Mus musculus: one gene and its partners. The protein of the gene in region 4 interacts with the protein of the main gene of each other region in a pairwise test. Links are inferred from orthologs where the notes say so. Each region holds a gene or a part of one and is shown on either strand. Other genes may lie near its edges. The genes, in order: Snx22, Csnk1d, Wt1, Dvl3, Bahd1, Syt6 and Kat7.

What was found.
Region 1: the proteins of Dvl3 (region 4) and Snx22 interact in binary tests that used the Homo sapiens proteins (3 or more experiments, as listed by UniProt). The two-hybrid records come from large-scale screens. The link is inferred for Mus musculus from reciprocal best matches to the Homo sapiens genes DVL3 and SNX22.
Region 2: the proteins of Dvl3 (region 4) and Csnk1d interact in binary tests that used the Homo sapiens proteins (3 or more experiments, as listed by UniProt). The two-hybrid records come from large-scale screens. The link is inferred for Mus musculus from reciprocal best matches to the Homo sapiens genes DVL3 and CSNK1D.
Region 3: the proteins of Dvl3 (region 4) and Wt1 interact in binary tests that used the Homo sapiens proteins (3 or more experiments, as listed by UniProt). The link is inferred for Mus musculus from reciprocal best matches to the Homo sapiens genes DVL3 and WT1.
Region 5: the proteins of Dvl3 (region 4) and Bahd1 interact in binary tests that used the Homo sapiens proteins (3 or more experiments, as listed by UniProt). The two-hybrid records come from large-scale screens. The link is inferred for Mus musculus from reciprocal best matches to the Homo sapiens genes DVL3 and BAHD1.
Region 6: the proteins of Dvl3 (region 4) and Syt6 interact in binary tests that used the Homo sapiens proteins (3 or more experiments, as listed by UniProt). The two-hybrid records come from large-scale screens. The link is inferred for Mus musculus from reciprocal best matches to the Homo sapiens genes DVL3 and SYT6.
Region 7: the proteins of Dvl3 (region 4) and Kat7 interact in a two-hybrid assay, tested with the Homo sapiens proteins (2 studies listed by BioGRID and IntAct). The two-hybrid records come from large-scale screens. The link is inferred for Mus musculus from reciprocal best matches to the Homo sapiens genes DVL3 and KAT7.

Annotation. Positions count from the first base shown.
Region 1 is NC_000075.6:66,066,846-66,071,293, reverse strand, and holds the start of Snx22 (sorting nexin-22), read left to right. Parts: upstream 1-1,534; 5' UTR 1,535-1,613; coding exon 1,614-1,688; intron 1,689-2,036; coding exon 2,037-2,120; intron 2,121-2,503; coding exon 2,504-2,608; intron 2,609-3,072; coding exon 3,073-3,167; intron 3,168-3,481; coding exon of another isoform or gene 3,482-3,514; intron 3,515-3,713; coding exon 3,714-3,781; intron 3,782-4,074; coding exon 4,075-4,193; 3' UTR 4,194-4,448. UniProt on the Homo sapiens protein: May be involved in several stages of intracellular trafficking. Interacts with membranes containing phosphatidylinositol 3-phosphate (PtdIns(3P)).
Region 2 is NC_000077.6:120,967,170-120,970,965, reverse strand, and holds part of Csnk1d (casein kinase I isoform delta), read left to right. Parts: intron 1-1,771; coding exon 1,772-1,943; intron 1,944-2,831; coding exon 2,832-2,971; intron 2,972-3,796. UniProt on the Homo sapiens protein: Essential serine/threonine-protein kinase that regulates diverse cellular growth and survival processes including Wnt signaling, DNA repair and circadian rhythms. It can phosphorylate a large number of proteins.
Region 3 is NC_000068.7:105,164,513-105,168,308, forward strand, and holds part of Wt1 (Wilms tumor protein homolog), read left to right. Parts: intron 1-2,305; coding exon 2,306-2,456; intron 2,457-3,796. UniProt on the Homo sapiens protein: Transcription factor that plays an important role in cellular development and cell survival. Recognizes and binds to the DNA sequence 5'-GCG(T/G)GGGCG-3'. Regulates the expression of numerous target genes, including EPO.
Region 4 is NC_000082.6:20,515,661-20,519,996, forward strand, and holds the start of Dvl3 (segment polarity protein dishevelled homolog DVL-3), read left to right. Parts: upstream 1-1,325; 5' UTR 1,326-1,534; coding exon 1,535-1,695; intron 1,696-1,978; exon of another isoform or gene 1,979-2,120; intron 2,121-4,336. UniProt on the Homo sapiens protein: Involved in the signal transduction pathway mediated by multiple Wnt genes.
Region 5 is NC_000068.7:118,900,020-118,904,555, forward strand, and holds the start of Bahd1 (bromo adjacent homology domain-containing 1 protein), read left to right. Parts: upstream 1-1,595; 5' UTR 1,596-1,738; intron 1,739-1,879; exon of another isoform or gene 1,880-1,919; intron 1,920-4,536.
Region 6 is NC_000069.6:103,584,988-103,588,783, forward strand, and holds part of Syt6 (synaptotagmin-6), read left to right. Parts: intron 1-354; coding exon 355-703; intron 704-2,245; coding exon 2,246-2,807; intron 2,808-3,796.
Region 7 is NC_000077.6:95,303,604-95,307,399, reverse strand, and holds part of Kat7 (histone acetyltransferase KAT7), read left to right. Parts: intron 1-1,203; coding exon 1,204-1,351; intron 1,352-3,796. UniProt on the Homo sapiens protein: Catalytic subunit of histone acetyltransferase HBO1 complexes, which specifically mediate acetylation of histone H3 at 'Lys-14' (H3K14ac), thereby regulating various processes, such as gene transcription, protein ubiquitination, immune regulation, stem cell pluripotent and self-renewal maintenance and embryonic development.

The DNA of each region.
Region 1 (4,448 bases), on a different chromosome or scaffold from region 4:
GGCGAGTGAAGGCAGGCAGCAAAGAAGCCAAAGTTTCTTTCTTCCCTGCGCTTCACAGAGGCTGCCCTGAGAAGGTGTGGCCCAGATTTAGGGTGGGTCTTCCTACCTCAAATGATCCTGCTGTTAACCAAAACTCCGGTTTGGTGGTCTTTTTTTTTTGTTTGTTTGTTTTGTCTTTTTAGTTAACTCTACCTGTAGCCATGTTGGCAATTCAGAATAACCATCACACATGACCCAGTTTGAGAACAGAACACTGGGCCATTGAGCACTTTACCTAGAGCCCAGTAAGGAGTGTGGGGCTGAGGTAGAAATGGAAGCCATTTCTGTGTTTACACATGAAGTGATCATTCTGTCTTGAAATCTTACTATAGCCAGGCAGGCACACATCTTTAATCCCAGTACTTGGGAGGCAGAGGCAGGCAGATCTCTGAGTTAGAGGCCAGCCTGGTTTAAAGATGGAGTTTCAGGACAGCAAGGGCTACACAGAGAAAACGTATCTACATATTTAGAAAAACCAAACCCAAACTAAGCAATGTGCCAAACAAAAATCCTACTACATTCTGAAGAAGACCAGCAGGGCGGATGAGAGCAGCTGGGGCCACCGCCTCTACACTCATTTTTGTTCCTCTTCTCTACACACATTTCTGTACCTACTTCTTATTATCTGTCCATCATCACCCATCCATCCCAGCTGAACAAGCCCATAAGGAAGCCACTATTGGGTCCTGGCTGAGTTGCTCAAGCTGACTTTGAATTCCTGGTTTCAAACAATTCTCTTGCCTCAGCCTCATAGATAAGTGGAACCCCTGGCCCGTGCCGCCCAGCTTCACTCAGTGTTTATACTTATGTTACCTGCTTTACAGCTGTGCAGAAACTCCACACAGTTCTTGATATCTAGGCCATTCGACTTTCAGTGCCAAGCCTGGGTTTTTAAACTGCCTCTTCCCCATACACTAGCTTGAAGCAAACTAGGCATGCTAAGGTAGGAAGGATGAATGGATGGACGGGTGGATGGAATAAATGAATGGTTTGTAGGTGCTCATCAAAGCTAGAATGGATCCCAGCCTCACCCCGGCACTACCTCAGTTGGAGTCTTCAGGTGGTGCTACCAGGGACCACATGAAAGAGGGAAGGTTGTGGTGGCTAGGTTCTCTAAGAACAAGGATGGTCCTAACCGGAAGCCCAGACCTGAAACCCACTGTGCCTTCCTCTGACACCTTAGCATCCAGGACATTCAACAAAGACCAGGTGAAATTTTAGAGAGACCAGGTAAAATGTACCTCGGCTGACTACCTGGGATACTAGGGAAATGTTTGACAAATGGGTGACCCTGCTGAAGGTTCCTTCCCTTGCATGGCGACCCATGGTGTTATCTTCTGGCCTCAGGACTTTAGTGAGCCAGGGAACACCCTGGGCGTGGCGAGGGCGGGCTCCCGTATCAGAGGGTGGAGCCTGGGGCTGAAAAATCCAGAGAGTGGGGCGGAGCCTACGGCCCGGGGGCAGGGCCTGGAGCCCGAGGGCGGGTCAGCCTCTTAGGGCTGCTTGGCTGCTCCAGGGAGTTCGGGTGCCCAAGCGCTCGATCCGGGAGAGGCTGCAGCCGGGTCGGGGCGCGGATGCTGGAAGTTCACATTCCCTCGGTGGGGCCCGAGGCCGAAGGGCCCAGGCAGAGTCCAGAGAAAGGCCACATGGTGAGCAAATGGACGAAGAGTGTGTGCGGGGATCTACCGATTATCTTCGCGATCAGCGCAAAAGGGACCCAGAATTCAGGGCTAGGACATTCGTCGCAAAGGTTCGGGGTTACTTGGCTTTGCCAGCCCCTTGGACAATGGTTTGGGCTCTTGAGGGGTCGCTTGGAGCAGAGGGGAGGGCCGGTTACCCTTTTCTTTCAGGTGTGTCTGGGGTTCGGAAGGGGTTTCCCTGATGGTGGCACGCCAAGTCGGCTTTGTGCCTTTCTAACACCAGAAATTGGGCGCGTCTCGCGGCGCGGGTCCTACTGCATCCTTTGGACCCGCCGTCTGCACTCCTCCGCCCGCCAGGTGTTCCAAGTGGAGGTGCTGTACAGCGGACGCAGACACACCGTGCCGCGGCGCTACAGCGAGTTCCACGCTCTACACAAGCGGGTGAGATGTCGCGGACTACCCACCGATTTGGCTCCAGGCCAGGTCCCTCGGTGGCATGAGAAAGAGCTCTGATCCCAGCTTCTGGTTGGTCACCCCCATTACTGTCCCAGCCCCCAGGAGGGTGCAGATCATAGGCGACTCCCCCTGGGCTGCAGGGCCCCTCGCGGGGAGGACGCAATGGCTAGAGCTCAGCTCAGACTGACCTTGTCCGTGTGCGTCCTTTCCACTCTCTGGCTTGTCACTTCTGTCCCAACCACCTCTTGCCAGCTGTCCCAGGTTGAAGCTTAAAGACAGACATATAGAGAGGACTGGAGAAAGTCCTCAGCTAGATGCAGTGGGCTTGAGTGCTTTGCTGGGAACTCACCTCTGTAACTGATGTACAGATCAAGAAACGGTACAAAGTGCCTGACTTTCCCTCAAAACGCCTGCCCAACTGGAGGACCAGAGGACTGGAACAGCGCCGGCAGGGATTAGAGACCTACATCCAGGTGTGCACGGGGTACACTTGGTTGCCCCTAAGTCTGAGGGACCAGGGGAGACCCAGTTAGAGATGTGGGAGTGTGTTGGGTCCCACAACTTGGGGTTGTTATTCAGTATCTCAGGCTCTTTATCCAAATGAGTACGAACTTTTCTATCTGGGTTATTGAAAGTTTTGAATAATCCAATGAGTAGATTCTTCACCCTTAGGGTGTTTTCCTGTATTTTCTTCATGAGGTGTGTGTGGACTCCTTCCTCTAACAGTGATAGTTATTTGACTAGCCTGCCCACTTTGTGGTGCTAGTCTTTGCGGTTCATTCCTTAGGATGACCCTGAGTTTGGGCTAATACTTATTTCTACTGCCTTGAAAGTCTTCATTATTTTGGAACAAATGTCCTCAAAATTGTTGTAATGGGTTGTGCAATTAGTAGCTGGATCTTATCTGATTGCAGACTTTCTCTGCCTTCTTCTCTAGGGCATCCTGTACCTGAATCAGGATGTGCCCAAGGAGTTACTGGAATTCTTGAGACTTAGACATTTCCCTACAGACTCCAAGACCAGCAGCTGGAGGTAAGGATAACCCTGCTCACGTGGCAAGGCCCTCGGCCGCAAAGGGAACCTTTAGGATAAGCTTTTTTCCTTTTTGAACGGACTGGGCCCTGGCCTGGTTCTGATACACCGCTTCCCTCATCACCTTTCCTGACTTGGAACAGGGGCTGCTTTTTGGTGGACAGCTTTGGTTACTCTAACTGCCTTGCCTCCACCTCCGGAACTGGGCTTGTTACAAAATAGAAGCAAGAGTCTCCTGGGCTATAGTGTCTCCACCCCCTCCTCACCATCCCCCTGGGTATCCTCAAGCAACTTAGTGTTTCTCTTCTTTTCAGCACCCTGGGGGAATTCCTGCCTAGTGACACCAGGCAAGTCAAAGTCCTGCCCTAAAGGCCTGCTGACCCCTGGTGGTTGTGTGCTAGGAGGCAGGCCAGCAGCCTGTTAGCCAGTCTCTTCCTTTTCCTCTGTGGGTCCCTGGGGATGGATTTTGGTCCTCAGTGACCATCCCATGAGCCTTTGCGTCGCCACCTCTCCACTCTCACTGTTCACAACTCCTCTCTCACACAGCTCCCAGCTGCACCACCGGCCGGTCATTGGCTTCTGTATGGATCCCTACGTTTGCACCCCTTCCCCAGGTGAGTTCCCATCAGCACCTCCCTCCTGTCCTCTGGGGTTACCACCTGCTGCTCCTGTAACTGGCAGCTTGCTTTGTGACTAGTAGAAGCTAGTGTAATACAGTTGGCTCACCAGGTCTCTGTTCCCCTGGGGCCTGTCTTCCAAAGCTAGTATGAATAGATGTGGAAGAGAGAAAGCCACTGGCGCCTCATTCTGGGTAGACGGCTGAGCCTGTGGGCAGCTCAGAGTGCTGCAAGCTCAAGGCCAAGCGTATCACCTGCTAGCTCCTTCTCCTTCACTGTCTCCCCCACAGAACCTCTCCCAGAAGTGGTGGTGGACGGCGTGCTCCAGGGTCTTTATGGCTTCAGCACCAGCCCGGTACCAGCCCAGCCAGAGGCTAACTGTCATCCTGCTCCATCACTAGTGCCCTGACTAGCCCAGGCATTGGGCCACCTTTCAGGACAGCTATGTGCCTCAGTCTCAGGAAAATGGGTCTTCCCTTGGACTAGACTCAGGTGTAACTGGCTGAGGCTCAGATGTGCCCATCCCCACTCAAAGCTCTGAGCCTGGTTTGCACTGACAGCTGTAGCTGGTAGAACTCAAGACTCTTAAAAGCCCAGGGGTCGTGGCGAAGTCAAGATAAAGAGAAAGGTGTGAGGTAATTTCAGAGGTAGGCTGAGAAGAGTC
Region 2 (3,796 bases), on a different chromosome or scaffold from region 4:
ATTTATTTTTTTAGGGTTAGCCTTTGTGTGTGTAAGAAAGAGAGTGTGTGTGTGTAAGTATGTCTGCATGTATATATGTAAACAATGTGTATGCCTGTGCTGTCAAGGTCAGAAGAGGAGGTCGGATCCCCAGAAACTGGAGTTAGAAGCTAGTGTGAGCCTCTGTGGGTACTGGGAAGCAAACTCAGACCCTCTGTAAGGGAGGCAAGGGTTCTCAATCACTGAACTTTGGCTTTCCAGGTGCTACAAGTACTGCTGTCCCCATGTCCACCTTAGATTATTCCAGTTACTATAAGAACTTGTGAATTCAGCTACCTGTGGTGGCATGGCATGATGGTCTGGGCTGGCAGGAAGCTGGTGGTATCTTAAGCCCTGTCCCCCCTCCTCCTCCAGCACCCCTACCCCCATCGCAGATCTAGTGTATACCTCATAAACCTCAGAAGAGCCTCTGGGTAAAGTGCCTGGTGTTCTGTCTGAGGTGACCAACCCTGTAATCATCCAGGCGGTGCTGCTGCTAACTTTAAAGGCTTTGTGAAACTTGCATGTCTATTTCCATTAAAAATTTTTGGACTGGGCATGATGGCTCACACCTTTAATTTCAGCACTCAGAAGGGCAAAGGCAGGCAGGTCTCTTTGATAGTTTGATACCAGCGTGCTCTATATAGTGAGTTCCAAGCCAGCCAGGGCTACAAATTGAGACTCAATAAAATAGAGGAAAATAAAATACATTTCTGAGCCAAGCACAATTGTACACCTTTCTAATTAATTCTAGCACTTGGGAGGCTGGTTATTAGCTTGAAGCCAGTCTTGGGCACAAAACAAGACCTGTTTCAGTGGAGAATTGTTTTGTAATTTGAAGTAGAGATTAGAGTCTTTGTAGGTAATGTATCTAGTCAGAGGAGCAGCAAGAACTGTGTCCTCTGTGTGCGCACCAAGGGCCTTGTCAGCTGCGCCGTGTCAACTCACAGGGGCAGGGCACTGTGAACTAGAAGTACGTGGGCCTAGTGCTGCTTGTGTGGATGTTGATCAACCAGGGCTTGGAAGATGACCCTAGGGGGTGAGCTGGCTCACAAGATGCCTAGACCTTCTGCTATGGTGGGGGTTCAAGAGACAGCTAAGTCTAATTATTAAACAGGCAGCACAGGGAAGTGCTTGCAGGTGCCTTCTGTGTCACAGCGGTAAGAATGATACATTGACTCTGATTTCTGCTCCAGGGGAAATCTGACTCTTGTCCTTACCATTGGCCTGTATGTAGAAAGGCTGGCATTGCCATGGCGTCTGAACTCTGCCTTGCTCTACTCCCGGTCTTAGGCAGTCTTCTTTCCTTTCTCTAATGCATTCACATGCCAACACTGATAGGTAGGGATTAAGGTGGCAGGTTGTACCTGTGAGTTCTAGTATGGTGGAGAGTGCAGAGGGACTATGGCCTTCCTGGTACTGTGCAGGCATCATTCCTGTGAGAGCATGGACTTTCTGGTGTCGCTGCCTGCTGTAGGAGACTTCAAAGGGCACTCTTCTCTTCTCCTTTTGTTTTGTTTTGTTTTGTTTAATTTATTTATTTTACTTATATGAGTATACTGTAGCTGTCTTGAGACATATCAGCGTTGATTTCCATTACAGATGGTTGTGAGCCACCATGTGGTTACCAGGAATTGAACTCAGGACCTCTGGAAGAGCAGTCAGTGCTCTTAACCGCTGAGCCATCTCTCTAGCCTTTTAAAAAACCACCAAGGCTATTTTCCTCCTGTTTATTCTAATCTTTCCTCATCAGGGTGCCAGCCGGGCTGCAGATGATGCTGAGCGGGAACGCCGGGATCGAGAAGAACGATTAAGACACTCCCGGAATCCAGCCACTCGTGGCCTCCCTTCTACAGCTTCCGGCCGTCTGCGGGGAACCCAGGAAGTGGCTCCCCCAACGCCCCTTACCCCTACCTCACACACGGGTAAGCACACCTCTTACTGTGCTTCACCAAACTAGGACCTCTGTTTGCTGTGTTGATGAATTGCTAACCATCCCAGTATGTGACTGGATTAGTCAGTTAAGGCCAGCCTGGTTTACATAGTGAGATATTGTCTCAAAGAAAAGAAAGAAATTTCCCTTTTATAAGACTTGTTTTAAAGTTAATTTCCCTGAAAGTTGTTGCTCATGGGGCTGGAGAGCTCGCTCAGTGGTTAAGAGCTCTAGCTGGTTTTTGTAGAGGACTTGGGTTTATTTCCTAACACCCACATGTCAGTTTTTACACTGTCTCTCTAGTTCCAAGGGAACTGACACTTTCTTCTGGATTCCTTGGGCACATGGTACAGAGATGTGTAGGGAAAACATCCACACACGTAAATTTTTTTAAAGTCTAGCTCTCATAGATTTTCTCAAACTTTTGAATACTCGGGGCTGACTTTTATATTGATAAATGTAGGGCCTTAGAATGCATTCAGCTACCATCAGGTTTCAGTTGCTGAGCACTTGAACTTGAGTTGGTTATGTGTAGCCCTGAGCCAGTTAATAGATTCAGGATATGTACTTGGCTAGGGTCATTAGTTTCTGCTGTGCCTACAGGCTTATGAGTTTTTTGTGTTTGTTTGTTTTTAGATAATTAGGCGTATTGTAGGTGTTTTTCTCGTGTGTATATGTGCTGCCTGTGTACCCAGTGCCCATGAAGGTCAAAAGAAGGCATCAGATCTCCTGGAGCTGGGGTAGCGATAGTTGTGAGCCACCATGTGATACTGGAACCCAAACTGGGTCCTTTCTAAAAGCAGGTGCCTGCGGCCATTGAGCGCTCTCCATCTAGTGGGTCCAAGGGTATTTAATAATTATGCTTTCTCTTCCTCTCCAGCCAACACCTCTCCGAGGCCTGTCTCTGGCATGGAACGAGAACGGAAAGTGAGTATGCGGCTGCACCGTGGGGCCCCAGTCAACGTCTCCTCATCTGATCTCACGGGCCGACAAGATACCTCTCGCATGTCCACCTCACAGGTATGCATGTAGAGCTCACTGAGGCCTAGCTGCGCCAGACCTGTGTGGGGTGCATGTCCTTGTCACTGTGTGCTGACACTGGCTCTCCCTGCCTTTCTTTAAGGACTGATCTTTTCAGGTTCATAGTCAGGAGTGGGGCGACATTTGTGAAGACTGTATTTCCTTTCTTCCTCCCACATTTTTTCTTATTTTTGTGGATATTTAACCCATTGGAACCTGTGACTTGCTGGGTTTCTAAAGGGTTTGTTTCCTGGCTAGGACTGTAATGGGCTGTGAACTCTGTGTGAAGCTTTTTCTCTTCTGCTCGATCTCAAAGGGACATCCCTATCCCTGCCCCGCCGCCTTCTCCACCAGTGAAGACAAAATATACCTGTTTGCTTTGTACCTTTTGTTGGGGAGACGTCTGTCGTTGGCACACCGACTGGGTTTTTATAACTCGATTTGTGTTTGCTAGCCAGGCTCTCGTTAGAACACCAGAAAAGGCACTGGCTGCATAAGAAGGGTTCCCGTGAGTGATTGAGCCTTAGAGGTGCCAGGCTGTAAGGTGTCCTCTTCTGTTGCCCTGTCTGTCTCTCAGGAAGGAGGTACTCAGGGAAGGTAGGGTAGTGTGAACTAGTTCCCAGGCCTCTTCCTCACAGATACTCGCTCATCCACATCTGCGTCTCCTCCTCTCTGTGCTTGCTCAAGCCTTTGCATTCAGCACTGCTTCCTTCAGCAGTCTACACTACACTTCCTTTTCTAAAGTAGGGTCTCCCACTGATGGGGGGGTTAGGGTCAAGGATAAATTTGAGGAAGCTCTTGCAAGCACCACTGCCCTTTTAGAGC
Region 3 (3,796 bases), on a different chromosome or scaffold from region 4:
TGTATCTATCTATCTATCTACTTATCTATGTATCTACGTATGTATGTATGTATGTATGTATGTATGTATGTATGTATGTACCTACCTATCTAGTATTATACAGCATAGGTTACTGTTTCCAAGGTGCTCACTACCTATACATCATACCCCTTTCCCATTTCTCTCTTCCCAACAATTATCGCCCCTTTCTCAGAACATTCTTGGATACTCTGTGTGGCATTTTCAGGTTAACTTCTTTGACTTAGCCACTTGTGTCTATGATTCCTGCATGTCTATGCAGGCCTTTGTTCTCTCATGTGACCCTCACTGCACACTTAAGAGAGAAGACAAAAGACTTGTCTAAAACCACATAGCTAGTAAGTGGGAGCTCAGGTGTACAACACATATTTTATCAGACTCCATAATCCTTGTTTGGCTGATTAATATTGTTGATTGGTAGAAATAAAATAATATTGTTGATCAGTGGAAACAGGAGGGAGAGATCTCCAGGGTAGGTGAAGAATCTCAGAGAATGTAGTGTATTCAAGGGGAGGCCCTACCTGGCCCCAAGCCTCTTTTGGATAGTCAGAACCACAATTACCAAGGACTCACATCTGTTATTTACAAATGCAATTCAGTGGCTGCCACAAGAGAAGTAGCTAGAGTGTCCTTTGGAGGGAAGCTAAGACCCTGAAAATAAGTTGCATGTGGGCCAGGCCCTATGTGGTGTGGGCAAGGAGATCTACTTCATGGAATTAGTAAAGTGTTCTCTGTTATCACAAGACTCTCTCTGGTGAGGAATAAACAAGTCTCAGAAATGCAGAGATGTGATAGAAGGAGTTATGTGAGTGTCCCACAGCAGACACCATCAGCATCATTCAGAAGACGGCAGACTGACAGTAACGGCTGCTTTTAGTCTTAATCCTACATGGTCTTCATCTCAGATGAAAAGAGATGAAGAAGGCTTATTGTGCCTTCCTTCCTACCAGACTCCGTTTATCAGATCCACTGTCAGAGCCTCTAGTAGACACCACACTTGCTGTACAGGTGTTATTTCCCCACTTACTCTTTTTCTTCTACAATATGCTAAACAAATTACTGGCCTATGATTCATTTGTATACCACCATTAGCCCTGGTAGAAAGGCAAATATTGACATACATTATGACCTACCAATACAGTACTGAATTTCTCCTTACAAAAAAAGTGCCCTCTCAGGGCAAGGGAAATGAACTAGTAACAAGAATGTGAGTGTGTGAATGGGCAGATCGGAAGATACATAGAAGAGGGAGTTACTAAGCTTATAGCAGTGGTTCTCAACCTGTGGGTCATGACTCCTTTGGGAGTCATATGTCAGATATCCTGCATATCAGATAATTACATTATGATTGATAACATAGAAAAATTACAGTTATGAAGTATCAATAAAATAATTTTATGGTTGAGGGTCACCACAACATGAGGAATGATATTAAAGGGTTGCAGCATTAAGAGGGTTAAGAACCACTGGTTTAGAGATTGGCCCAGGTCTTCATACCATCACAGATGTGTTCCTGTGTCAGCTGTCCATGCCTTTGGCCTTGATGGACACATCTGTAGTTGAACAAGGAGGAATTATTTCTAATATCAAGGAATCACAGCTTAAGGGCAAGAAAGGAGATTTGTTTTCCCTGCTAAATGACAGGAACTGGTAGGTGTTATGGAAATAAGACATAAAAGTCACAGAAGGTGGACAGCGCCCAGTGTTTTCCTGTGTCACTTTCAAGGATCATGCTGATTATACTACAGTAATCTGGTGGATTCAGAGGCCCCAGATCCAAAGACTTGTTTATCATTTATTTAGATGTGAAGCTTAGGTCCTTTTGGGCCTCATTTAGTGTCTCATGTCTTCTCCAATAAGAACTTTCTCATCCATTTTTCTGGCTGAGTCCATAAACAAATGGTCATGTTTCCAATGGGGAGGCATGCATACCCTCTGGGGATCTGGAATTCTATCTCAAGTGAGAGATAGATTGGGAACTCTGTAGACACTAATGCTTCTTCTCTAGAGGTTCTGTGTCAGGGACACCAAGAAGTTTCATTTCAAATCCAAGTTCTGTTGATCAGTTGTAATCAGAATACTGCATCATGAGATTTCCTAATCTATCATCCGTTAGTGATGTCTGTCACAGGTATCTAGGGTATGGAAGCAAACTTTTTTTTTTTTGTCTCATATCATTACCTTCCTTCTCTTCTTTTGGTATATTTCAGCGTTCTGTTTCCCATGGGATAACATTAATGTTCACATATGGCACAAGGTCTCCATGCCTCTTATATTTTGCCTGCAGGATGTGCGGCGTGTATCTGGAGTGGCCCCAACTCTTGTCCGGTCAGCATCTGAAACCAGTGAGAAACGTCCTTTCATGTGTGCATACCCAGGCTGCAATAAGAGATATTTTAAGCTGTCCCACTTACAGATGCATAGCCGGAAGCACACTGGTAAGTGTGTCCACTGTCGAGCCATGGTGCTTCATGAGCCTCCATTCTGGACTCTGACACTGCTCAGGTCACAGGTGACTTGTGGGGTAGAAAGGTTGTGCTTTGAAAGCTCAAGCCAAGGTGACTCTGAAGCTGCAGGGCTGTTGGCATGTTGGTTTCCCATCCTTTATTAAAGAAACCAACATTTTCAGCCATATCCAAGGAAGCAGAACAGGGTGGTGAGAAGCAAACGCCACAGAATAAAAGTGACACCTGTTTGAACGTTGCATTCACCACCAACTGATGAGACCTTGAGCCACCATCGCTCAACATCCTTCTGAACTCGGAGTGCCTTGTAAGGACAATGAGGATGACAATGCTGTATACTGTCGTGTATAACAGTACACAATTTTCAAGCCTTGCACTTTAATTCAAGCTGTGCTACAGGAGTTGTAGCTATAACACACCTAGCATAGGACCTGTGTCTCCTGGACTGAATACATGGTAGTGTTATTCCTGAAGCACTATTATCATCTTTAACAGGGAAGACAAGCCTGGGATAGGACAATCAGGTGGCTCAGAGATTGACAGGCAAGGTCACCATAAACTTTGAAGGGTAGGTCCAAAGACACACATAGATGTTCGGGAATCAGTTCTTTGATAAAGAAGGCCGTGAGGTTTCCAAGCAGGTTGTACCAGACGTTTCTTTCACCACTGTCACTGAACACCTCACAAATGGCTTCCCTTTGGCTCACTGTTTGGGAACACAGTCTATCACGGCTGGGAATGTATAATGTTGGGAACATCCTTAAAGCAATGGGAGCATGAAGGTGATCATTCATACCTCTGGATGAAGAAGCAGAGGGAGACGGAAGATGGGAGATGAGAGCCAGAAGTGCACCAGGTTATGTCTCCAGGGCCACAACCACAGCAGCTTGCTGTTTCTTGTTAGGTTTCACATCCTAAAATGTTCCACAAGATCTCACACACTATGAGCTTGAGACCAAGGGGTCAAATGCGCGAGTCTGTGGGAGACATTCCATTTCAAACCATAAGACAGCATTGCCGAGCAAGCAGCCTTGTGAAGGGTGTGTGCTTAGCATTTGGATGGGTAGGAACGGGGACATAAAGATGAAGGGCGAGGAGGGTTCAGAGTAGTGAGGTCAGCTACAGGAGACACACAGAAACCAGAGAAGCACCAGAGGTCTTGAGACAGGAAAAGAAACTTGGAGCTGTCCATCAATGGAAAGACCCTACTGACCACGAAGTAGCTAGCTCTCCATCCCAGAATCCAGTGAGTCAGAATTCTAGGAGGTGGAAACATTTGTAGAAACTCAGTGCACTCTTGGGGTCTTTTCTCC
Region 4 (4,336 bases):
CCACTTAGTTCTCTCTCCAGCTCCTGTGACTCTAATTCCAAGAGACTGACACCCTCTCCTGGTCATCTCAGATACCTATAATCTGTGCAGGGGGTAAAAACAAACCTTGAAAAGTTTTAATGCATTTTATTTATGCACAGACATTATTTGGAGAAAAAGATTAAATGAAGGATATAAACTGAAAACATGTAACTGCTACTGAATGCTTTCTGCTTATAATAAAAAAATTGGTTATGATGTAATGAGAAAAAGTCTAGAGAGGTATATAGATGTCAGATTATTAAGGGCCTTGTGTGTCATGTTGAGGGTATATGAAAGTCATATTGGGTAATGTGAAGAGGTTTCTGGGCAGAAGAGGTGACTGAAATGCAGGCATGTAATCAGAGAGAGAACTCAGAAGCTTGAGGCAGGAGAATTGTCAGGAGTTTCAAAGCCACACCTGACATACATTGTTACAGCTGAGAAGCTGAACCACCAACTGACTATAGGTAGTTTTGACATCTACTGTCCCAATCATACAGGGTTTCTCTGTTTAGCCCTGGCTGTTCTGGAACTTGCTCTGTAGACTGGCTGGCCTCCAACTCAGAGATTTGCCTACCTATCCAGTGTTTGGACTAAAGTAATGTTCCACCACACCTGGCTGCTTGCATTCTTTCTTAACTCAAATTTTTTCTTTTCTCTTTCTTTTGTCCTTTTTTTCCTCTTCTTTTCCTTTCTTTCTTTCTTTCTTTTTCTTCTCTGTATTTCTCCCTCTCTCTAAGAGAGGAGTTCCCTCCATAGTCCTGCTGTCCTGAAGCTCTCTGTAGGCCAGGCTGGCTTAAACTCACTGAAAGACACCTGCCTCTCTCTCCTGAGTGCTGGAATTAAAGGTAAGCGCTACCACACCCACTCAGTCCATTTCTCAAACTACTTGTTCATAGAGACGCTGAGATTATAGGGATAAAAACTTGAACTTGCTCAGCCCTCAAGGAACTCAGTACGGTCCGGTGGCAGCAACTGTGCTGTCAGCAGAATCCAAAAATCCGAGTTGAAGCCACCCGGCATCCAGGGATCCAGTTAGGTCTTCAAATCCATTCTCTTCTGCAGTCGGTGACACTTCTCTTCCATCCCTCCCCTCCTGCCCGGGACCCTGCACACGGTTCCGCCAGTCCCACCGGGCTGAGACTTCCAGGTCCAGCTGCCTGAACCCGGAGCACAGGGGACCCAGCGCCGCCCTGTGGGTGGGCGGGCAGTCGGCCGCAAGCAGCCAGCGCGGCTCGGAGGCGGGGCGGGGCCGCACTGGGCTCGGCCCAGAGCCGGGAGGGCCCAGGCCACCGGAAGAGTCGCGATCGCCAGCGGAGCGCCGGGAGTGGGGAGCGGAAGCGGTGGCGGGCGGCGCTGGGACCCGGGAGCGGCCGGAGAACAAGGGAGCTGGCGGCCCGGCCGGCGGCTGAGTGGGGCTGAGCAGCGGGCCGCGCCGAGCGCCGAGCTCTGCCGGAGAGGCCCGGCCCCGCTGCCCAAGCAGGCCGCGCGCCGCGGGGCCGAGGCCGGAGCCATGGGCGAGACCAAGATCATCTACCACCTGGACGGCCAGGAGACGCCGTACCTGGTGAAGCTGCCCCTGCCCGCCGAGCGCGTCACCTTGGCGGACTTTAAGGGCGTTCTGCAGCGGCCCAGCTATAAGTTCTTCTTCAAGTCTATGGACGACGATTTTGGGTGAGGATGGCCCCCGCCCCGCCTCCCGGGAGCCCGGGTCGCTCCGCTGCTAGGGGCCAACACAGCCAGTTCCGACTCCCCTGACTGCACTGGTTTCTAGCCCCGCTTCCAGCAAGGGAGCGACTCGGTGACTTGGGACACACTTGACTTTGAGGGACTCCCAGTCACCTCTTGGAGGCCTTGCCCCCCTGGTCCAGCGAGACGTCCCTCCCTAAGCAATCGGTTCCTACCATTCAAGCCCCCTCACCTCCCCACGGTCCAGCGGCCCCCCCCAGAGACATACATCCTTTCCACTCCAGTCCAAAGCCAGAATTCTCAGTCCTTCCAGGTGCCACCATTTAAGCATAAAGTTGGAGTATATTGACACCCGGCCTGCCTTCCCGGTCTTCTGAGCTCTGCAACTCAGAGCCTTATTTGGAGTGTGCTGTATCTAGGGCTGTAGCTGGTGGGACTTTGAACTGGAGAAGGAGGCGTTGGGGGCTGTTCTACCAGGCTGGATGATGGACCTGATGTTTGTCAAGCAGATTCCCCTCTCCCCTGGGCCGATGGGGTGTTGCCTGACTCAGAGGAGTTCTCACTAGCCAGGTGCTGGGGCCTTTTCTTTCCTGATGGTAGTCCCAGCAGAGATGTTGCATAGGGCTTCAGAGCCTGGATGGGAAGACTAGGAAGGGCCTATTGATGTTCTCTCTTGTCTTCCCCTCCCTACCCTGCTGCAGGGCTTTTGATGGGCAGTTTGGAAGCTGGGACTGCCCCTTTAAGAGAGGTTGGAATGTTGGAGCCTGAGGGTTTTGTAGCAGCTGGCCTGAGAGGGGGGTGGAGGGGGAAGACACACACACACACACACACACACACACACACACACACCCCTCTCCAAGGGGCTGAGGCTTGCCTACATTAACTGGACGGTCGGCCTAGAGGCTATGGAGAACACACACACACACAAACACCCTACCCCTCCCTGGGCCCTTCAAGGCCTGAAGGTCCCTCTGATGCACTTGCCTGAGGCCTGCACTGTGCTTGCAGCTGAGGCCCCAGAGCTGGGTGAGGGGAGATATCCCACCACCACCCCCAACCCCCCGCCCCCTGTGTACATTAGTCTGGCTTCTCTCCCAAGGCCTGCCCTCCCAGCCCCAGGAGGCAAGCACCTTCTGTCTCCTGCCGGACTTATTTGTCATTTTCTACCCCTGGAACTCAGCATTCGATGAATTCTTAGAAGTGTTTGTGTGTGTGTGTGTTGGAGAGTGGAGAATAGATCTATTACTGATTCTGTTCTTGCCCTGGGATGAGACTCTTGTGTGATAATGATTGTCTGGCTTTAGTCTAGAATAGGCAAACCTGGTTGAAAGACCCTGAAAATGATATATCTGGAAGAACTAAGGATAGGAGGTAGGTGTCTCAACCTGGCATGAGAGGAATAAGAGTAGGGTCTTTCTTATTATCCGAAGGAACTGGGATAATATTTCAGGGTATGCTAGGCCAGATGTCTTGAGGGGTTAGAATCGTCTTGTATCTCTACCCGGACTTGCCTCTGGGGACCACTGTGAGCTGCTTCCTGCTTTCCTAAGGTTGTCGTGGGAGCAGGTCTAACTATAGTTATAAGAGGGCCCCCATTGCATCTGCTCACTGCTCAGGAATATCTTTCTTTAAATCAACTATTGAACTAAGTAACATTTATCATATGCCACTTTAAGCCATTTTGTATCTACCCGTGGTCCTTGAAGCACCCTTTGCAAAATATCGGTTGGCTGTTCTACCAGAATTGAGACCAATGCTAAGAATCAAGTGGGTGTTCTTATTTGGCTTATTCCCCCCAATCTACGAGAATAAGTGAGCAAAAGACCCAGCAAGGCCATCCTTTTCAGAGTTAGGATAGCAGAGGATCCCGTTGACAGCTTATTTCATTTTTTATTTTACAAGCCCATCATATGGTACTTACAGTCTGCCTGACAGTGATGTCATCACTTGTACATCTTGCATCTTGGAGTCCTCACACCAGTCTATGAAATGGACACTGATGAAAATCAGGAGACTAGAATGAAAAAGGCCTCAATAAAGCTGACCCTAGGCCACACAGCTGGTAAATGACAGAATTTGTTTGGATATGGGGGACTCTCACTCCAAAATATAAAGTCTGGATCACACCATTGTAGAGGTGTGTGTGTATGTATGTATGTATGTATGTGTATGTGTGTTTGTATAGGTGTCAGAGGGAGAGAGGGAGAGAGAGAACATGAGAGAGAGAGACAGAACGAAAGAGAGCACACACACACACAACACCGGTGAGGAATACTATATTATGTAAATGGCCATTCTATAGATTTCTCCTCTCCAGAAGGATGGTAAGCCTTGGCAAACTGGGAATGTCAGAGGCCACTTCAGGCGGCCTAGGCCAGTAACCCCCGTTGACAAAGCCTGTCAAAGGAGGAAGCCTGCTGGCCTCCACCTCAGGTTCAGAATGTGGGACCTAAGGAGTCCCCAACTCTCACCTGGTCTCCAAAGCTATTTGTGAAGCACGGGGTAGACTTAGTGCCATTAAGTTCCTTGGGAGAGTCAGGGAAAGGGCTCAGTGCATAAAGGCCATTGCCACCAAGCCTGGTGACCTGAAGTCTATCCTCAGGACTCATAGAGTAGAAGGAAAAAG
Region 5 (4,536 bases), on a different chromosome or scaffold from region 4:
TCCTCAGCACTCTGGGCGCTTCTCTGCCCTAGGCGTTCCAGGGCCCAGCCCCTCCCCGGCTGCTCCCAGGCTCGGGTGACTTGACACTACCCTTTTTTGCTCCTGCTCCTTTACCTCCCAAAGCGCCCCTCCCCCGCCTGAATTGGAAATGAGGCTTTGTTCAGGGGTGGACTCGGTATTTCTCAAGAACCTACTGTGTGCACATTACAGCTCCTTGAAGTGAAGTCCTGGGCTGGCTCTGGCGCTACAAGGTGTCCAGGACACAGCCCCTTCCCGCACCTCCCAGGGACTTCCCACCCCTTCATATGACCTCAGCCTGCTGTGCCCACCCACCCAGCTGACCCCGAGAGCGTGCTCAGGCTTGGAAAAGCACGTCTGTGGGTGTGAGAGACGGAGCCACAGCATAAGGCGACTATGGGGAAGCTAGGTAAGTGTCTGCACTGGTTCTACACTAGCTTGGGGACGCGAAGGAGTGTGTCCAGCCGCGCCTGTTGGGCTGCCCGCCCCTTTCCCTCTCCACCGGAGAGCTCTGATGTTCCCCGCGGTGGTGGAAGAGGGTGTGTGGGTGTCAAGGACTCACAGACCAGACTCTGCTGTCAGCTGGAAATGGATGAGGGTTCCACACTTGGCTTCTGAAAGAGGGCGAATTGGGAACTGGGGTGGGGGGCGTTAGGTGAAGGACAGAAAGAGGAAAAAGAGATGCGGGTGAGGGGTTACCGAGCCAGGACCGACCTTGCTAGGAAGGAAAGGAGACGTGGCAAGCAGGGAAGTCGGAAAGATGAGGCAAGGGCGGGAGGGGCTTCTCAGGAGTCGGGGCCCTTTCGCGCGAGTCTGGGGCCCTTTCAGGAGGAAAGGGGGTGTTGTTCTTGCTTGAATTTTTCGGTTGGTCTTCCCGAAGCTTTGCCATGGGGGCAGCAGCCTGAGGGTGAGGTGCCCCCTCGACCCTCAGTTTACTGTAGCCGGTGCTGGAGAGGTTACGAGGAAAGAGGGATGTAGAAGGGTGATGGTCAGGGAGGGGGCGCGCTAAGATTTTTCAGGGTGGGGGTCTGCAGTGAGGTGCTGGGGCTTCAGGGTCAGGTCACCATGGGATACTGGCTCAGGCTCCAAAGACCAGGAGAAAATACAAGAAGCCGGCAAAGAAAATCATCCCCCGCCACCACCCTTGGCACCGTACCCCTCCCCCCAGGCCCCACCACTCCCCGCACCGCCTCCCCCGGCCGCCTCGTGCTGCCCCCTGCGTCGGGACGACCGACCCACGATTCTGATTGGTTGGAGACCGGGAGGGGGAGCCGAGGGCCGGATTGGCTGGCGGGGCCAGCGCAGGGCGGGGCGGCTGATTGGCGGAGCTTGCCGAGGGGCGCGCCGCTGATTGGCTGAGGACGAGGAAGCAGGAAGGAGGGCGGCGGAGGCTCCGCTCTCGGGGAGTTTGTGGGGGAACCGCGAGCGGCGTAGCGGATCCCGGAGCCCGGCCCCCGCTGCTCGCCCGTCCGGCCGCCTGCCCCGCCCGTCCGGCCCTAGCCGTCCGCCCGCCCCGGCCAGGCGCGCCCGCCCCCCCCGACGGCCCCGCCCGACCGCGGCCCCCGCTCCGCCTGCCCGGCCCCGGCCCCCAGGAGGAGGCGCTGACGCAGCAGCGTGGAGCCCGGGAATTGAGCGCCCCCGGGGGGTTCCAGCCGCCGGATTCCAGCCCGGCCAGGGCCTGCGGGCGCCCGAAGCCGCGCCGTCCGCGCCTCTCGTCCCGGTGAGCTAGGAGCCGGGATCCAGGAGGGGGTAGGGGAGGGCGAACGAGCGAGAGCGAGCGAGCTAGGTAGGCGGACTAGCAAAAGGGAGAGGACCGGCCGCCCGTCAGCGCGCCCCGCCGAGCGCGCCGCGCCGCCGCCCCCGCCAGCCCCGGGAAGGGACGGACGGACGACAAGAAGCAGGTGCGGCTGCTTGCCCGCCCGCGCGCGCCGCCTCCCTCCCCCGGGTCCGGCGCTGCGGTCCCGCCATCGGGGAGCATTGCGCGCCTCGAGGTGACAGCCCCCGGGGGGCGCCCGCCTCGCAGGCCGGGGGCGGGGTGGGTGGCGGCCGCAGGGTGGCAGCTTGGCCGGGCGGCGGCGGCGCGGGCGTCCCGGGCTACGGAGGGCGGGAGGACGCGGGGTGCTTCCTCGCCGCGGCGGAGCCGGCTCGCCTCCGAGTGCGCGGGCGGCAAGGCCCCCGCCAAGCCCCCTCCCCCATCGTGGTCCCGGAGGCTAGGGGCCGCGGCTGGGGGCGTCGCCGCGGGAGCGCCCTCTCGGGGTGGGGGGCGCCCTCCCGGGTTGGGAGCTGACCGGCAATTGCCGGAGGGGGGATGGGGATGGGGGCCGCGTCAGGGCGAGGGGTAGTGTGGACTCGATCGGGTCGGGCTGAAGGAAGGGAGGCGCCGAAGACGGAAGGGGACCGGTTCGAACAGCGAGTGTGGGCCGCGGGAGGCCCTGTGGGGACCGTGCGGGGCGGCGGCCGAGTCCGAGGTGGGGCGGGGGGAATCGAAGTTGTCAGACCGCCTCCAAGTGACAGCGGGACCCGGTGCTCCAGGCCTGGCCTGGTTGTGCCCTGCCAGTCCCGCCGCCTCTCCTCTGGGGCCGTGGACCGGGTCAGGTCGGGCCCAAGGGGCCCGCTCGGCGGTGAAGAGCCGGACAAAGGCGGCGCCCGAGCGGGCGCAGGTAGTGGTATCGGGGAGGGGAGCGAGTCCGGGGCACCCACCCCAAGGGGCGGGCACGGGGCCGGACTCTGCCCTGGGGACTGCGGGGGCCGGGGCGTCCACCGGGAGGAGCTGCGGCACTGGCTCTGGTCTGTAGCCGCAGATATCCTCGCGGCTCCGGGAAGAGTGGGGTCGACTTAGCCAAGGCGGAGGGGCAGGGTTGAGGGGTGTGCGCACCGAGTGCCCTGGCCGGTGGCGAATGGGCTGGTGGACTCACAGAGGCGAGCGGAGCCTGCTAGCAGTGAGGCTTTCAGCAAGTCTGCCTCTCGGTAGAGGTTTAACTCCACCTGGGATGTCTCCTAGTGGCCCATTGTCGGCAGTCTTAAGAGCACAGGCGGCTACTTGGATTGGGACTAAGGGACCCCACCCCCCAACACACACACCCACTGTGCTTGGCGATGCCTTCACTATTGCTGTAGCCGTCTTCCTTGGGCAAGAAGGTACCCACATAGGGACATGATAAAGCTGAGTCCATAAATTGAGGCAGAAATTTGAAGACATAAAATAAGGTTTCCAGCTTTCTTTTGTACCACCTGACACGTTTCTCCCCATCTTCTACCTCCATAATCTTCCACCAACAAGGAAAGCCTCAGAGAGACCACATTTCTTGGGGACACCACTGTTCTAGGACACTTTGGGATCTCTGGCTTAAGCTGTGAGCGCTAACCCCAGCGGGTGAGCAGCTCTAGGCTGTATGATGTTTACCCGTTTGAGAAAATCCACTCGGCTCCGGTGCCCCTCCTCATGTGATTAAGTTGGGAACAGGAAGAGAGGAGTCTCAGGCTGATAACAGCTGAGAACATGGCCTTTTGCTGAGAAAAATCTGGGTTGGAGTGGCACACCAGTGGGACTGGTCGAGAGCAGCACTCGGCTGTGTTTGGCTCTAAGCCCACCGTGAGAAAGCTGCTGTCTGCCAAAGGAGCAGGAACAGGGTATGGAGTTCATTCATAGCACCCCGGCGCTCTCTCCCCAGGAGAGTCTGGACCCCAGCTTGGGTGGAGTTGAGGCTTGTGGGGAAAGGGGGTATTACCTCACACAAGAGACTGAAGTTTGTTGGAGAGAGTTTAATTGTATGTCTAAAATCCAGAGAAGGCTGGAGAATCTTTCCTTTTGCTGGGGTTGCACTGTGTGTGATTTCTTTTGGTGGCAGTCAGAAGGGTGACCTGGTTTGGCTGCTGGAAGGTGGGAATTGCCAAAATAACATTTCCCTCTGTGGCAGGGGTTTAATCTGGCAGGAGATACTTGTCTGTCAGATGAGTGTTTGGGAGGGCTGGCCCTGGGGAGTTGAGCCATTAACTGAGATGGTTTTGGTAGCCATCTCTTTCTGTCCCTCTCCTCCCTTGTTTCTCTCCTGTACCTCTTATCACTCTAGAACGGATGCTAGCCTGGGACTGGCAGCAAGTCTCTTCTCTGCGTCCTGGTGTGCACTACCATTGCTGGGGTTGGTTTGTTCTTTTTGGTGTCTCCCTCCCTCCTTCCCTCTCTGTTGCCATGTTCCCGGGTCAGTTTCTTCCTGCTTCCTCTGGCTCTTCTGGTCCAGTCTGTACACAGCTAGCTACCAGATCTTTCTTCCGAAGCACCCCTTCCACATGTCAGTTTCTTACTCAATTGTGCTGGCTTCTTTTTGCTGCAGTCTAACCCTAGGCAATGTCCCTAAGGCTATTTGCTAGTCCTGCTGAGCACTTTTGTCTGTCCTGCCCTTCGCACCCAGCTCCTACCCCTTCCTTCTCTCCCACTTGTTTTTTGTCTTGGCGTTGACCAGTGAGCTTGTGAAAATGGATTGTCTAACATGGTATCTTCTCAAATGCTTTGTAGATTGG
Region 6 (3,796 bases), on a different chromosome or scaffold from region 4:
GTATTTGCACATTTGATAGAATCTCATTTAAATCACTGTCCCATCCCTGGGCACAAGCCAGAGGCAGTAGGGTAAGCCGCCAGTGCTCCCCATGCTGGTAAAAGGTTGGGGCAGGGTGATGCTAAAGCAACCAGACTGTGGTGAACGCCAAGGCTGCAGACAGTTGACAAAATGGACCATCAGCGGTCCAAACCGTAGCTTCTTCCCGTGACTTGGTAGCTTTGCTCATAACCGTTCTTCTCTCTTCTTCCGTCTTTGTCCCTTCCGTGTGCGCCTTCTTCCAATGCCTCACCTGCGTATCCCCACCTCTGTGTGTCTCTCTGTCCTGCCCTGCCCGCCTCATGCTGAGGGCAGGCACCTCTGTCAGCCTCCTCGCCGTGGTAGTTATTGTGTGTGGCGTGGCCCTGGTGGCAGTTTTTCTCTTTCTCTTTTGGAAGCTGTGCTGGATGCCCTGGAGGAAGAAAGAGGCCTCCAGCCCTTCTTCTGCTAACCCTGCTTCAGAGACTCTCCAGAGCCCCAGCTCCAGAGGCAACATGGCGGATAAGCTGAAGGACCCCAGTGCCCTGGGCTTCCTGGAGGCAGCTGTGAAGATCAGCCACACTTCCCCAGACATCCCAGCCGAGGTGCAGATGTCGGTCAAAGAGCACATCATGCGCCACACAAAGCTGCAGCGACAGACCACAGAGCCAGCATCCTCCACCAGGTGAGTGGCGTGCTCCTCACTTCCTAACTCCACCCCACACCCCCTCCGTGCAGCCATACTTTCTGATCCAGAGCATCAAGTAGATCCCAGCCCCTGAGGATCAGGGCCCAGAACTAATAGCATATGTTCTTTGAGGACCAGAGCAGATGGTGTCAGCCCAGGTGCCAATCAAGAAGAGGAGGTAGTGTCAGGATAGGTGTGATGAACCAGGAACCTTCAAGGTGAGATGCTGTTCATGTGCTTAGCACGTGAGAGTGAATTCGAGAACACAGAAGACTAGACTAGAAGCTAGGTTGAGGAAAGGGAAAACTTCAGACACAGGGACGAGTATACACAAAGGCCCAGAGGCGTGAGAGTTCTCGATGCATTAAGGGCTAGGTTAGTGAAGCCTCGTGGCTGCAGTGTGTCATGCACTGGAGGTAAAGCAAGTGGGCCCAGGCTATTTGAGAGCAAGGATTTCTTTAATGCCCTTTGAGTTCCCCGCATGGCAGTAGTTACATAACATGGCCTCATCTAATTTAAAAGCATACCAAAAACAGACAGGATGGCTTCCTGCTTACTCTAACTCCAAAAACATCCTTAAAAGACACGTTTACTCAGAATTTGAGAATCTTGTGGATTCCTGGATCCCTGTGGTGTGTGTTCCTTCAGGCTCACAGGCACCAATCAAAGGGAAAGAGTACTCAGAGCAGAAGCCAGGAATGAGTGTGCTAAGGTGGCACAGGCTGACTTTGCTGTATGGCTTTGGGCATATAGCTTAAAGTGAGTTATTTCTCACTTTTCTAAACTGTGCAACAGGGCAAATGACTCTGCTTCGGTTGTTAGGAGGAACTACCAAAGAATCCATGTGACAGTGCTGAGAGCTAACACATGTTGCTTATCGCACACCTGGCCCTGTTTTAAACACTGTATCTATTTTACTATCACACAACTCTCGGCAGTTGTTACTTTTACCATCTTTATTTTTGTAGTGCAGAGAGTTTAATCACTTGCTCAAAGTAGCAGGACCAAAATTAACCTATGTAGTCTATCTCCTAAGCCGATGCATTTAACTACTTGACTGTCTGTGGGATGCTAGATCCGTCATGATGGCGGGCAGTGGTGGTGGTGGCGGTGGTGGTGGTGATGGTGGTGGTGGTGATGGTGATGGTGATGGTGAAGGCAGTGGGAACAGTAGTCCTTCTCTTATAGAGGCTCATGCTTTAATGGAGGGGGGGGGGTAGTCATGCTTACCAGGAAAGAAACCTAGAAAGCAGATGTCAGAAAAGCAGGAACAATGATTAAAACAATGGCTAACATTTATTGAGCTTGCTGTACATCGGGCACCATTCCAACTACTTTACATATATTAAGACATACAATGCTTCCAACTGCTTCATGCACAAATGGTATGAAGAGGAAAAGTGGGGTCAATGAGAGGGAAGGAAGGGGAGCCCCATAAGAGGGATGAGGAGCCAGCAGGGTTAGGTCTGCCTTTAGCCCACTCTCCCAGCCCCCACCGAAGCCCTCACGCATGTTTTTTGTGTCTCCTGTGCTCACCAGGCACACATCCTTCAAGCGCCACCTGCCACGACAGATGCATGTCTCCAGCGTGGACTATGGCAATGAGCTGCCGCCGGCTGCCGCCGAGCAGCCCACCAGTATTGGCCGTATCAAGCCTGAGCTTTACAAGCAGAAGTCAGTGGATGGGGATGATGCCAAGTCGGAGGCCGCCAAGAGCTGTGGGAAGATCAACTTCAGCCTCCGCTATGACTATGAAAGCGAGACGCTGATTGTGCGCATCCTGAAGGCCTTTGACCTCCCTGCCAAGGACTTTTGCGGAAGTTCTGACCCTTATGTTAAGATCTACCTCCTGCCTGACCGCAAGTGCAAGCTGCAGACCCGGGTGCACCGCAAGACCCTGAACCCCACCTTTGATGAGAACTTCCACTTCCCCGTGCCCTACGAGGAGCTGGCTGACCGCAAGCTGCATCTCAGTGTCTTTGACTTTGACCGCTTCTCCCGCCATGACATGATTGGGGAGGTCATCCTGGACAATCTCTTTGAGGCCTCTGACCTGTCCCGGGAGACCTCCATCTGGAAGGACATCCAGTACGCTACTAGTGTGAGTACAGGCCTCTTCCCTTGGCTTCCTGAGCATGGGCAGTTCTGAGTTGAGTAAGAGTGTCCTCAGCACTCTGTCCCCCTAGAGGTACATAGGGAACTATGGGAACTTCCTCGTGGCCCAGTTTGCTTTGAGGAAGTCCTTGAACTCAGTCTGGATGGAATAAGGAAGGGAGGGAGGAAGGGAGGGAGGGAGGGAGGGGGGGGAGGGAGGGAGGGAGGGAGGGAAAGAAGCTGTGTTTTTTAATTTTGATTGTAGGGTATGAGTGTTTCTCTCTACCTGCTAAACCTTTAGTTTGCTATCTATACAATCATGTTATATATTCGTTTTAATTGAAAGCGCATCTATGCTGAACTAGTCAGTAGAGTCATTGCTGTATTTTAGAAGTTTGAAATTGGTGATCAAGACCAGGCTGTGTTAGTCAGTATGAACAAAGTCATGCTGAAGTAACAAACAATACTGGGAATTTCTGGCTTAAGACAACTAAGGTTTATTTCTTGTTTGTGTTACATATGCTTCTCAGCCTGCCTGTGGGTTCTACTGGACCTTGTTACCAGGGGACTCAAGCCCACAGGGACCCTATTCCAATGTGTGTTCCCACAACTAGACATCAGGATGAAGAAGCTACAGCAAGGCAGGCAGCACTCTGTAAAGCTTCCAGGCAAAGGTGACATGTCACTTCCATTCATATTTCATTAGCTGAAACCAGACACATGGAGTTCTTTATCTCGACAAGGCAGGAGCAAAGCAATCCTGCTATGTCCAGAAGGAGGGCTTCAGCCGCTTACGAACAGCACATAGCGCAGTGCCTCATTTGGAGCATGGTCCTCTCATTAGTCTGGGAGATGGGCCACATCCACACACAACGTCTGATCCTAGCCTGCCCGCCATCACCTGAAATAGGCCCAGAAAGGTTTCAAAGAATCAGGGTTTAATTTTTTTATTTTATTTATTGTATATATACACACACACACATATGTTTAGAAATC
Region 7 (3,796 bases), on a different chromosome or scaffold from region 4:
AGAAAATAATTTGTATCTTTTTTTTGGTTAATTTCTTTCAGTGGGTAAGAGCACCCGACTGCTCTTCCGAAGGTCCAGAGTTCAAATCCCAGCAACCACATGGTGGCTTACAACCATCCGTAACAAGATCTGACTCCCTCTTCTGGTGTGTCTGAAGACAGCTACAGTGTACTTACATATAATAATAAATAAATCTTAAAAAAAAAAAAAAGAGCTCCTAGAACTGGAGCTCCAGGTAGTTGTAAGCTGCCATGGATGTTGGGAATTGAACCCAGGTCCTCTGGAAGAGCAGCAAATGCTCTTAACCACCAAACCATCTCTCCAGCCCCAAGAACATACTTTGAAATGACCCCGGTCAGGGTTTCTCTGTAGCTCTGGCTGTCCTGGAACTCTGTTATGTAGACCAGGCTGCCCTGGACTCACAGAGATCTTCTTACTCCTAGGATTAATGGCATACACCACCATGCCCAGCTAATATAATTTTTATTATATTATAATATATAATATAATTTTTGTTGATGGAGAATTTGAATAAAATTTACCCCAAAGTTCAGTGAGGCCTAGCAATAACATTTTATATGCCATCTTGGACTTTTTCTTTTCCTTTTTTTTTTTTAAGGTTTAGTTGTACTATTTTAATTATCTGGATGTGTGTAGGGATGTGTGAGAACAGGTGCCTGCGGAGGCTGGAGGTATTTGGCTCCCTCTGGAGCGGGAGTTACAGACTTCAGTTGTGAACTACCAAGTGGGCAAGTGCTGGCAAATGAACTAGGGTCCTTTGCCGGAGCGGCCTGTGCTGTCAGCCACTGGACTGTGCTTTTTCTTTCGTTTGTCCTTTTTATTTTTTTCTTGACTAGCCAGACCATTTTGATTTGGGTGTTTTGTTGTTGGGTTGGGTGCTTTTATTTCCAATTTCTAGTGATTCAGTCCAGATTGTTTCAGAATTAGTGATAATACACGAAGAATTACTTCTCTTCTCGGTCTGCTGAGTACAGGTGGTTTGGTTGTAGGTCATTCCACTAGCATGTCTGAAAGGAAGGGCAGCGCCTCTGCACAGCAGGGAGGGGAAAGGCTGGCTGGTGGTGGAGTCCTTCCTTATGTTGGAACTTGGTACTTCAGCATCATGGTTCATTTTACTTCCAGTGCTAATAGAAAACTGTAGTAAATGCTTTTGTGCTAATGTCTGGATCTATGGTATTGCAGAGAAATGCAGGCAGTAGTTCAGATGGAACCGAAGATTCCGATTTTTCTACAGATCTCGAGCATACAGACAGTTCAGAGAGTGATGGCACCTCGCGCCGATCTGCCCGAGTCACCCGCTCCTCAGCCAGGCTAAGCCAGAGTTCCCAAGGTAAACATGTTTTCCTTTCCCCTGACTTCTTCACAGTGGACAGTGGTGTCATTCTGTTGTGCTGGTTCATAGGGATACTGCTCCTGAGCTTGATGGAGAGCAGTGGTTCTCAGCCCTCCTAACACTGCGACCCTTTAGTACAATTCTTCATGTTTTCGTGACCCCCCTCCTTTAAATTATTATTTTTTAAAGATTTATTGTGCGTACAGCACCTGTCTGTGTGTGTGCCTGCAGGCCAGAAGAGGGCGCTAGATCTCATTATCGATGGTTATGAGCCACCATGTGGGTGCTGAGACCTCTGGAAGAGCAGCTGTCTCTCCAGCCCCCCATTAAATAATCGTTGTTACTTCATAACCATAGCTTTACTAAGGTTATGCATCATACTGTAAATATCTGATACGCAGGATACCTGACATTTGGCCCCTGTGAAAGGATCATTTAATACCCTACCTACAAAGGGGTTGAGACCCACAGGTTGAAAACCATTGGTATAGGTGGTAGAATGGTCAAAGTGTAAGGCAGCTGCTGAAATACTCGGTCTTCAAAGTGGTTTCTGTCAGATGTTCTTTTATAGGCAGTGGCTTATATAAATGTGAGATGCAGGTGTCTTGAAGACTGTATGGCGTTCGTTATAGGTCATCGTAAAACGATAAAATGGGAATGTTATCTCATCACTATAAAATGGCTTAAGAGTTAAATTGCTTATTGAGTGTGTCAGTGAGATTTAATGCTTCTAAAGGTACTTTTAATTCTAGAATATAGAGTCACATTTGATAGAATAACTTTGAATAAATATTCAGAATGTTGCTTTGGTAGTGAAATAAACAAAAGGCTTGTGGTTAGAAGTACTTGGAAGGCTCTCTAATGTATTTAGTCACTTGGGCTTATGTAGAAGTAGGCTTTTCCCCTCCTAGTTTTATTCAGCATGGAAGAAAGGTTTTTCAGCTAATATACAAAGGTGGTTATCAGTCTGCAACAATAGAGTAAATGGGAAATTATAATATGGCGTCGGGTGTGGTGTTGCACACCTTTAGTCCCAGCACTTTGGAAGCAGAGGCCCGCAGATCTCTGAATTCAAGGCCAGCCCCGTCTATATAGAGTGTTCGAGGCTAGCCAGAGATACTGAGACTCTGGCTTTCAACAAAAAATAACCAAAAAAGTAACTGTGTGTGCGTGTTTTATGTATGTATGTATGTATGTATATATATATATGTATGTATGTATATGTATGTATACATGTCTGTACACATACAAATAAATAAAATGATTTGTTAACAAATCCTTTGGTCAGCCGGGCATGGTGGCGCACGCCTTTAATTCCAGAGGCAGGCGGATTTTTGAGTTCAAGGACAGCCAGGGCTACACAGAGAAACCCTCTTGAAAAAACAAAAAAACAAAAACAAAACCTTTGGAAGCCCAGGGGTGGAGCAACCACATTCTGTGAGAAGGTCTCCTAGAACAGTCTGGAGGAGTCCAGTAGGACTTTGCATATTGAAGATGAGCAAAATATTTTGGGGCAGAAGGAATCATATATACAAAGAGTCATAATGGTTCTTAGACACTGCAGTTAGCTATGCCCTAAAGGTGATGGATATTCAAAACAGAGCTGGGGGGGGGGTCTCTGTAGTTATTTTATTTCATGGCCACAAAGCTACACGATCTTTGGGAGCATCAGTCACAGGGTTTCCTAGTGTGAAGTATAGACAGACTTGTGAAAAGATATAAAGATACCCTAAAACTATATAGTCTTTGGACCCTGCCTGCATACCAACTTACCTCTCCTGACAGTTTGACAATTTCAACTTAGACATTGTCATAGGTTGTCATTTAAAATACTCTTCAGTTTTAGCTTTTATTTTATTTCCTTTAAGAGGCATCAGACTAGAGATGTGAAAGGTCTCTGAAAGCTTTAGAAGAGGGTTCTCTATGGGAAGAACTTAAGGGGCTGGAGAGATGGCTCAGTAGTTAAGAGCACTTAGTTGTTTTTGCAGAGAACCTGGGTTTGACTCCCAGCACCCACATGGCGGCTCACCCCACCGTCGGTAACTCCGTATGAGTACAAGGGTAGTCAAAGAACAAGCAACCTCCTCCCAAATATAGTTTTAGGACATCTGTATTATGATGGGCTATATATAGCAAGGGAAGAAACAGGCATGTCGCTAATATTGGTAAAGAACTCTTTTCCCACTGGGGGTAAGGCACACACGCCTTTAGTCCTAGCAGCTCAGCAGACAGGTGGGTGGATCACTGAGTTTGAGGCCAACCTGGTCTACAAGGCGAGTTCCAGGGCTACACTCAGATTCTGTTTTGGAAAACAAAAAAACCAAGACCTTACTCACAGTAAGTAAGCGTGAGGAATATACTACTACTGTCTATCATTTATTTATTTATTTTATTTTCCATGCTAAAGTGAGTATTTTTCTCTCTCATGGGCAAAGAAGCAAG